Linked DNA regions of Macaca mulatta. The protein of the gene in region 1 interacts with the protein of each later gene in a biochemical or structural test. Links are inferred from orthologs where the notes say so. Each region holds a gene or a part of one and is shown in the gene's direction. Other genes may lie near its edges.

Evidence for each region.
Region 2: the proteins of SYTL4 (region 1) and RAB8A form a complex in vitro, tested with the Homo sapiens proteins (2 studies listed by BioGRID). The link is inferred for Macaca mulatta from reciprocal best matches to the Homo sapiens genes SYTL4 and RAB8A.

The regions. Positions count from the first base shown.
Region 1 is NC_133426.1:107,583,218-107,587,526, reverse strand, and holds the start of SYTL4 (synaptotagmin-like protein 4), read left to right. Parts: upstream 1-1,437; 5' UTR 1,438-1,554; intron 1,555-2,052; exon of another isoform or gene 2,053-2,146; intron 2,147-4,309. UniProt on the Homo sapiens protein: Modulates exocytosis of dense-core granules and secretion of hormones in the pancreas and the pituitary. Interacts with vesicles containing negatively charged phospholipids in a Ca(2+)-independent manner.
Region 2 is NC_133424.1:16,585,503-16,589,912, forward strand, and holds the start of RAB8A (ras-related protein Rab-8A), read left to right. Parts: upstream 1-1,340; 5' UTR 1,341-1,353; coding exon 1,354-1,477; intron 1,478-1,827; exon of another isoform or gene 1,828-2,419; intron 2,420-4,410. UniProt on the Homo sapiens protein: The small GTPases Rab are key regulators of intracellular membrane trafficking, from the formation of transport vesicles to their fusion with membranes.

The DNA.
Region 1 (4,309 bases):
GGAGGAGGAACAAATTTAAGAGAAAAGATGATAGGTTTAACTTTGGATGTGTTGAATTTGAGGTGTCTGCAAGACATTCAAGTGGAGATGTCAAGAAAACAGAACTCAATAAAGCGGTCTGGGTAGAGTTATAGAATTAGAGTTGTGACCATATATACGATAATTAAAGCCAAGTGAGTGAAAAAGATTATTTGGGGGAGGGAGTATATGTATCCTAGCCCTGAGAATGTCTGACTTTCAGAGGTCAGATAGCAGAAGAGTGGCCTACAAAGGTCACTGAGGAGAGGGCAAAGGAGTAGGAGGAAAAGCAAGAGTATAATGTCATAGATGCCATAGAACATTTCAAGGAGGAGGAAATGGTTAACAGTGTTAAATGTAGGGGAGAAGTCAAGCAAAATAAGGACCAAAAATACCTTACTTATTTGTGGATTTATCGACACTGAGGGTCATTGGTTTTTTATCTCATTGAGAAGTTTCAGTGGGGGAAGGAAGCCAGACTGCTGAGAGCTGAGAAATGAATGAGACGTAAGGGAATAAAAATTGCAATTTCACCTGTAAAGTATGTTTTCAATACATTTGCCCATAAAGAGGACCTGAAGAGGGACCTCCTGTGTAGGGAGGATATTGTTTTAAGATGGTAGATACTTGAGCATGTTTAATTGCTGATGTGAAATGAGGGGGAGAGGGATGGGAAAGAGAGGGAGGGGAATCTGCAATTACTGGGGAGGTATAAACATTTTAAAGTCTATTGATATATACTGCTCACATGCTTTCTAAAAGGGTTTTTAACCAACATATGCTCCTATCAGCAATTATGAGAGCTTGTTTGGTGGCTACTTTGTCATCATTAAGTGTTATTTAAAAAATAAAAAACAAAACTCTTTGCCAAATAATCTCATTATTGTTCTAATTTGCTTTTCTTTGATTACTAGTGAGTTGAATATTTTAACCAGTTGTGTTCTTGAGTGTGTATGTGTGAATTTAGTCTACTCCTTTGCCCAAAACGTTTCTATTTTAGACAGACAATTTGCCATAAAAGGCCATAAGTTAAAGGATCAGAATGGTATCATATTTTACTTACCCAAATTAGATAGTTCATATTCTTTTATCTCCTTAGAAGTGTGAGACAATTTGACAACTTTTGACTCAGCAGAATGAAAGGGGCAGGTGATTTCACCATCTAAGGGAACGACCAACAGATGGAAGTAAGGGGGTGGGGAGGCACGTCTAGTGTTAGACCCCTATCCTCGGTCCCTAGGCTCCCACTCCTAACCTGGAAGGACATTCATTCCTCTTGTGTCTCAAGGCTTTGGGTCCCAGAGCTCCCTTTCGGGCTGAGCGGCCCCCTACTAAGGAGCCCGGGGCGCTGTGCGGCCCCTTTAAGAGTCCAGCTCCTCCCAGCTCCAGGGAAAGTTGCAGCTTTTTCCGCCTCCCGGGAGGGTGAGAAGGGCCGGCCGCCGGAGCTGGGTGGCGATCTTCCCGGAGCCAGAGACCCTCCCTCGAAACCGGCACTGGGACGTCTAGCTCTCTGGAGGCACCTGTTGCAGGTGACAGGTAGGTCAGCAGCCAGCGGCCGCCCCCTCGCCCTCGGTTGGGGGCTCCTTCTGGACCCCCAGCTCCTTTTCGCTGCTGAAGCGCCCCCACCCCCATATCGGGGTCGTGCGTCTTCCCTACCTGCTCTCTGCTCCCCTAGTTTTTCCTTCTCCCTAGCTGACCTCGTCTTCCCTCTCCCCGTCCGCCTCTCCCGACCGCACCCCCCAGGCTTGGACTCCCGTCTGCTTGGGCGGTCCCTCCCGGCCACTTTTCTTTCTCTAGGGCTTCTTCTGGCCCCTTCCCTGACCCACCTAGCACTAATGCGGGCTGTGCCCCTCTGGGAGCCGCCTCCCCTCTCCTCTCCGGCTCCCCTCGCGCGGAGTGCCCGGGCTTTTCCCGCCAGCCCGAGCTGGTGCCCCTCCCGAGAGCTGGCCCTGGGGGCGGGGGCGGGGCCGAGCTCCTAGCGGGAACTGCGCCCTCCAAGGCGTGCAGTCACCTTTTCGTGGGTTTCTCTCGCAGCGCTTGGCCGTCGAGCGGGGTCGCTAACCCGCACTCTCTTCGGACCTCCGACATCTCGGCGTCGGCTTCTCTGGCGTTGGCCAGTCAGCCACAGGTAAAGGCTGGAGGCTGGTCGGCCGGAGTCCTGCCTCAGTGGGCTCCCTCTGCGCTTGGGGCTGGGGACCTGGCTACGTGCTGTGGAGCTGTTTATCTTGCCGCTCTTCAAGCAGGCTGTGAGAGACCTGGTACTGGAGGAGGGTCCCCGAGATCTCAGAAGGGGCACAGAATGCTTCTGTCTCCTGTGATGGTTTGTAATGGGGCAGAAAAAGGTGTTCCTCCAACCCTTAACATTGAGATGGGATTTGGGGTGGTGAAATCATTTGGTTAGAATTCTGGTGGCTTGAAAAGTGGTGAGTTTCTAATTAACCAAGCTTTTCTTCCCCCAGTACCCTTCTTCTTCAGGACTAGAGGACGTAAAATTCCAGAGTACTGCTCTTGGCAGGGTTGACCCTAGACCTTGTATATTTGTGGCAAAAAATGAGTCTTCTGTACATCCTGGACCTCCTATATTTAACTGGCTTCTTTTCTGCTCTTTAAGCTCCCCACCCCCACCTCTCATAAATCTATTAATATTGCGGTATTAATGACTTAAGACTTTTGTCGCTGTGGGAACAATGCTCAATGCAGAGATGTGGCCTTGATGAAGTTTTCCGCATTTTTGGTGGTTTGGTTTTTAGCACCCTAGTAGAAAAGCACACCAACTTGGCTTGTGAGGCTCTGTCTGGGCAGGGGATGAACATTTCTGCTAACACGATTTCAGGTGTCTCACTCTTGGTCAGAGCAGTGAAATGGAGCTCGGAGGCCTGTTCTGGGGTAACTGATCTGTGAGTATATGTAGCATTCCGGCTCTCTGAGCTTGTTAGGCTCTGGTTGTTAGGCTCCATTGAGCCAGACACTGTGATAAGTTCTTTACATAAAAATGCAATCCTCCCAGTAACTCTATACAATAGGTGCTACAGTTATAACCATATTATGATGAAAAAGAGACTTAGAGGGTAAGTGCCTTGCCCTCACAATCTCGGAGGCAGAGCTTGTGTTCCTATCCTGTCACACCACCTCTATTGTCTTGGATGTTGGGAGCACTGAATAGCTCATGAATGAGGACTAAGTGATTAAAAAATTTCCTTCCAAGTATATGTTTTGCTCCTTGATTCCCCCTTAGATTCACTGCCGAGACTATGGACTACTTACCTTACTGATGTCTTACCCACTTCATTTCTGACATGGGCCAGTTGCCACATTACCACTATAAGTACACATCCCTGAGTGTACCTAGATGAGTGAAATCTCCCGGGTTCTCAGCTCTGTGGTAATTGTCTTGAAGTTAGAGGAGGGTAACCCTGGATTCCAGGGATGTGCGCCTGACTCAATTTCTTCCTCTCCTGCTGGCTAGGGGAGAAATAAGTGATAGGGATTTCCTGACAGCCATACCAGAGAGCTTGAGGGTGATCGTGTGCTAGTTTTGTCATGGGATGGATGGAGTACCACAGGCAGGGATAGGAAGAAAATGTCCTCCCTATTCCCAGCTCTGGGACCTTGCTCAAACTGTTCCTTTTTTTCTTCCTAAAAAGCTAACTTTCCTCCCCCATGCCCATTCCCCTGACATTAATTCCTATCCATCCCTCAAGATTGAGTTCTAAAGTCACCTTCTTTGGAACGGCCTTACTGAACACATACTTCTTCCCCCAAGCAGAATTGCCAGTTATCCTGTGTCCTAAAGCACTTTGTTTACACCTCAGTACAGCCCTTAACACTGCTTAGTTGTTTTTCCACCTGGAAGGCTGTAAGTTCTCTAAGGGCAAGGTCTGGATCTTGGAGCTCCCTTTGTCTTAAATATAAGATATTGGCAAATATTTGTGCCAGTAACCGGATGTACCATGCCATTCCTTCAAGGTGCTGAGGTGTAGTGATGGTGGGGTTGAGAGTACAGAAGACACCTTCCTGAGGCGCTTGAAATACCACGGCTACAAGTTTGCCCTGATCACCCTATTTAAACGTGTAATCCCTTCTCTGAACGTTCCATATGCCCTTTCCCTACCTTATTACATTTTTCTCGCTTATTGTCTGCCCTGCCACTCCCTCACCCACCATAACATAAACACCCTGTGGGCAGGGATTGCTGTCTGTTGTATTCACCGGTAGACTTTTGGACCCAGAACAGTCCTTGGTACATCATAGATGCATACTAATATTTGTTAATGAATGAATGGCATTACCA
Region 2 (4,410 bases), on another chromosome or scaffold:
CACCGCGCCCGGCCTTTTTCTTTTTTTGAGAGGCTTCTCGCTCTGTCGTCCATGCTGGAGTGCAGTGGGACGATCACCGCTTACTGCAGCCTCAAACTCCTGGCCTCCCAAAGCACTGGGATCACAGGTGGCAGCCACAGCCCCGGCCTGTTTTTTCAGTGTTGAGAGTCCTGGCCCCTAGATAGGAACAAGCATCCTCACTGTTCTAAAGCATCCTCACTGTTCTAAACCCCCCGGGCTGGCCCGGACAACTCCTAAAGCGGCCGAGGGCGGACCCTGAGGAGGCCGGCGCGCGCTTCGGGGCATAGCTTGTGGCGGTGAAGCCGCTCAGGTGGCGGAGGCCTTGGGTATCTGTAAGCAGGTCGCTAGGCCGCAGACCTCGGAACTCGTCTTGGGTCACTTTTATTTATTTATTTATTTTTGAGATGGAGTCTTGCTCTGTCGCCCAGGCTTGAGTGCAAAGGCGCGATCTCGGCTCACTGCAACCTCCGCCTCCCAGATTCAAGCAATTCTCTGCCTCAGCCTCCCAAGTAGCTGGGATTACAGGCGCCCGCCACCACGCCCGGCTAATTTTTGTATTTTTAGTAGAAATGGGGTTTCACCATCTTGGCCAGGCTGGTCTTGAACTCCTGACCTCGTGATCCACGCGCCTAGGCCTCCCAAAGTTCTGGGATTTCAGCCACCGCGCCCGGCCCGGGTCACTTTTCGAGTATACAGTGTCTCCTCTCTCCTTCCTCCGTCGGCCCCCGCTGCCCCGACTCGGAGGCCGCAGATCAGGTTGAGAGCGCTACCATGGTTTCCCGCGCTCGCCTCGGGGCCTATTGCGCCTGCGCGAGTTGTGACGGCGGGACCCAGAGATACCCGCCCCAAGTACAGGATTGCGCCCTCTGCCGTCGCCTAACGGAACTCCGGGCGCTCGTGCGCACGCACCCCAAGCCCCGCCCCCCAGGCTGCCGGCGCGCGAGCCGTTGGCGACGCTCCCTGCCTTCCCTCTCCTGTAGTGGGGCGGGGCCGGGGCGCCCGAGTAGGGGGTGGAAGGCGGGGGCCACATAATGCCACGCCCCCGCCTCGTCCCCATTTGAAGCCCCACGACTCTTCACTGCTGGTCAATCAGAGCCCGTCCTCTCCCTAGTGCCGGCCAATGGGAGGTGCGCTCGGGCTGCTTCCGGCTCCGCGCTCCATTCGCCCCCTCCCCAGGTCTCCCCGCGACTGGCGGGACGCAGGGGCGGGCGTCGGCCGCGGTGACGCGCAGCGGGCCTGGAGCCAATAAGGGGCGGGCTCGGCGCTGATGGACGGTGCTGGTGGCCAGTGGAGAGGCGCTGGCCGCACTTCCCGTCGGGGAGAGAGTGTAATATGGCGAAGACCTACGATTACCTGTTCAAGCTGCTGCTGATCGGGGACTCGGGGGTGGGGAAGACCTGTGTCCTGTTCCGCTTCTCCGAGGACGCCTTCAACTCCACTTTTATCTCCACCATAGGTAGCGGGACCGGGGAGTGGCTGGGGGCGCCAGAGGCCCGGGCTGGGCGCGCCCCTGAGGGGCTGGGGCTGAGGGATCTACCGGGCTGGACTGGCCGAGGGCGCTGAGAGGGTCGAGGGGGCCTAAGGGGAGAAGAGCAGTCGCCTGTACCGCCGTTCGGAGGTTCCTGGGCCGTGGTGGGGGAGACCAGGTGCCCATTTTGCAGATGGGGAGACTGAGGCTCCGACCCTCAGCCCGCTCGTTAGGGAGTGTTATGTCCTGGGCTGGGGTCTTCGCGCCCGTCCTCTCGATCTGTCCTAGCAGCAGCCCTCAAAGCGGTTCTTTTGAGGCTCCTGCCTTACAGAAGTGGAAACTGAGTCATGGGGAATTGGCCATGGGAAAAAGACGGTGACATCTCACCTTAATGAGCATTTACTATGTGCCAAGTGCTTCCCGTGCATTTTCACACTCTCCAGTTCTCGGTGTTAAGTGCTGTTTTGAGCCCGTCTCACAGATGAGGAATTTGAGGCTCAGGGTGGGCCTGGAACTTGCCCAAGGCCACACAGTCTGCAGGTGGTGAGAATGGGATTTGATGGAATTTGAACCTGGCTGTGTCTCAACCCAAAACTCGAGGCTTAGCTATCCTAGAGAGATGCCACCTCACACTCCCAGCTGATGACAAGCTCAGCTAATGCACCTTGGAGCCGGAACTGTAACCCACACCATTCCTGCTCTTTTCTCTGGAGTATTCAGAAGTTGAACCCCTCTCCCTGACCATTCTTCCCCTCATAAGTGTATTTTCCTCTAGAAGGAATGATAAGAGGAGTCAGGACCTTTTCCCTGCCCACATTTCATCCTGCTCCAGGATGACAGTAATGACAAGTGACAGCACTGCCTGCCCTGGAACCTGTCATCTGCAAGAAGATGCAAGATAAAAGCCTCAGCGAGCAACTAAATCAGCCACTGCCACAGACAGCCTTGACTTCCCTATCAAAGGGCCCAAGACTCCGGTTGTCACTTTAGAACAGCTTTTCCCGTAGGGCCAGCCCACATTGTGGTTGAACAGAATTGGCTTGGTGCATCTCAGTTGTGCCGTCTGCAGAAGTGGAACTGACCTCTCTCAGTGCCACAAAAGCAGTCCTGGCCCACAATGAAAAGGTTAGACCGGGGAGTAACACCAGTCTGAGTGGCCTGGGAGCTCTGTAGCCCTGCTAGGGATGGGGAAAATGGGGGAACGGTCACTAAGGAGTTTATTCCAAGTCACGAAAACGTAGGGAATGGCCTTTGCTTTACTGTGTCACTTCAACAGAATCATGTTTTCTCCCTGAACCCCACGATAATGTGCTGATTCCATTCTTGCCCCCCTCCAGGAGCTGTGCTTTTTTTATTTTATTTTATTTTATTCTATTTTATTTTATTTTATTTTTTGAGATGGAGTCTAGCTGTTTTGCCCAGGCTGGAATCCAGTGGTGCTATCTCGGGTCACTGCAACCTCCGCCTCTCGGGTTCAAGCAATTCTCCTGCCTCAGCCTCTCTAGTAGCTGGGACTATAGGCACCCGCCACCACGTCCAGCTAATTTTTGTATTTTTAGTAAATATGAGTTTCACTATGTTGGTCAGGCTGGTCTCAAACTCATGACCTTGTGATCCACCTACCTTGGCCTCCCGAAGTGCTGGGATTACAAGCATAAGCCACTGCACCCAGGATAGCTGTGCTTTATAAAACAGTTATATGCCTGATGTAAAGTAGAGAGAACTGACTGGAAATCGTTACGTCTGGTTTCCAATTGCTGTTTGCCCTTGAACATACACTGCCCCTCTCTGAGCCCTGCTGTCTTTAGAGCAGGAGTGACGCTGTCTCCTGGGCTAGTGCCCTGGTGGTTGAGGATTAGAATTAGACAATAAGGGGTTATCACCGTAACCAGAGGCCATCTCGAAGAAGCAAATGAATGAATGGCTCCTGCAGTGACAGCATCCAGCCTCTGAAGACAGATGGTTCTGAATTCTTCCCCCTCCCCAACTCCAAGGCCAAACTTTAGGGTAACTCTTGTGCCCCAGCCGATCAAGAAGTGGCGTTAATTCAGCCTGGGCAACATAGCAAAACCCCATCTCTATAAAAAATAAAATAAAATTAGCCGGGCATACTGGCTTACCCGTATAGACCCAGCCACTTGGGAGGCCGAGATGGGAGGATTGATTGAGCCCAGGAGGTCAAGGTGCAGTGAGCTGTGATGGCGCCACTGCACTCCAGCCTGGGCAACAGAGCGAGACCCTATCTTAAAAGAAAGAAAGAAAGAAATTATGTTAACTGTGGGCAGACTGTGGCTTGCCTTCACTCAGATCCCAGTTTCCCGGCCTCAGCACCTTCCCCACAAACCCCCCCTCTTTTTTTTTTGAGATGGAGTCTCGCTCTGTCACCCAGTCTGGAGTGCAGTGGCATAATCTCGGCTCGCTACAACCTCCGCCTCTCAGGTTCCAGCAATTCTCCTGTTTCAGCCTCCTGAGTACCTGGGATTACAAGTGCCCACCACCATGCCCAGCTAATTTTTGTATTTTTTTTTTTTTTTTTTTTTTTAGTAGAGACAGGGTTTCACCACGTTGGCCAGGCTGGTCTCGAACTCCTGACCTCATGATCCGCCCACCTTGGCCTCCCAAAGTGCTGGCATTACAAGCATGAGCCACTGCGCCCAGCCCAGACCCCCCCTCTTTAGAGTTACTTTGAGCTTTAAAGAGGCTGTCTTCCATTTGCAGATGAAGATGTGACTTGGTGAAAGTTACCTAGCAAGGTGAAGGTGGCACCTGACCCCAGGATCCCTCCCTCTCACCCCTTCATTCCCCTCCTTCCATTTGTAGCCTTCTGTCTTCTAGGAATTTCTTTTTTTTTTTTTTTTTTTTTGAGACGGAGTCTCTGCCGCCCAGGCTGGAGTGCAGTGGCCGGATCTCAGCTCACTGCA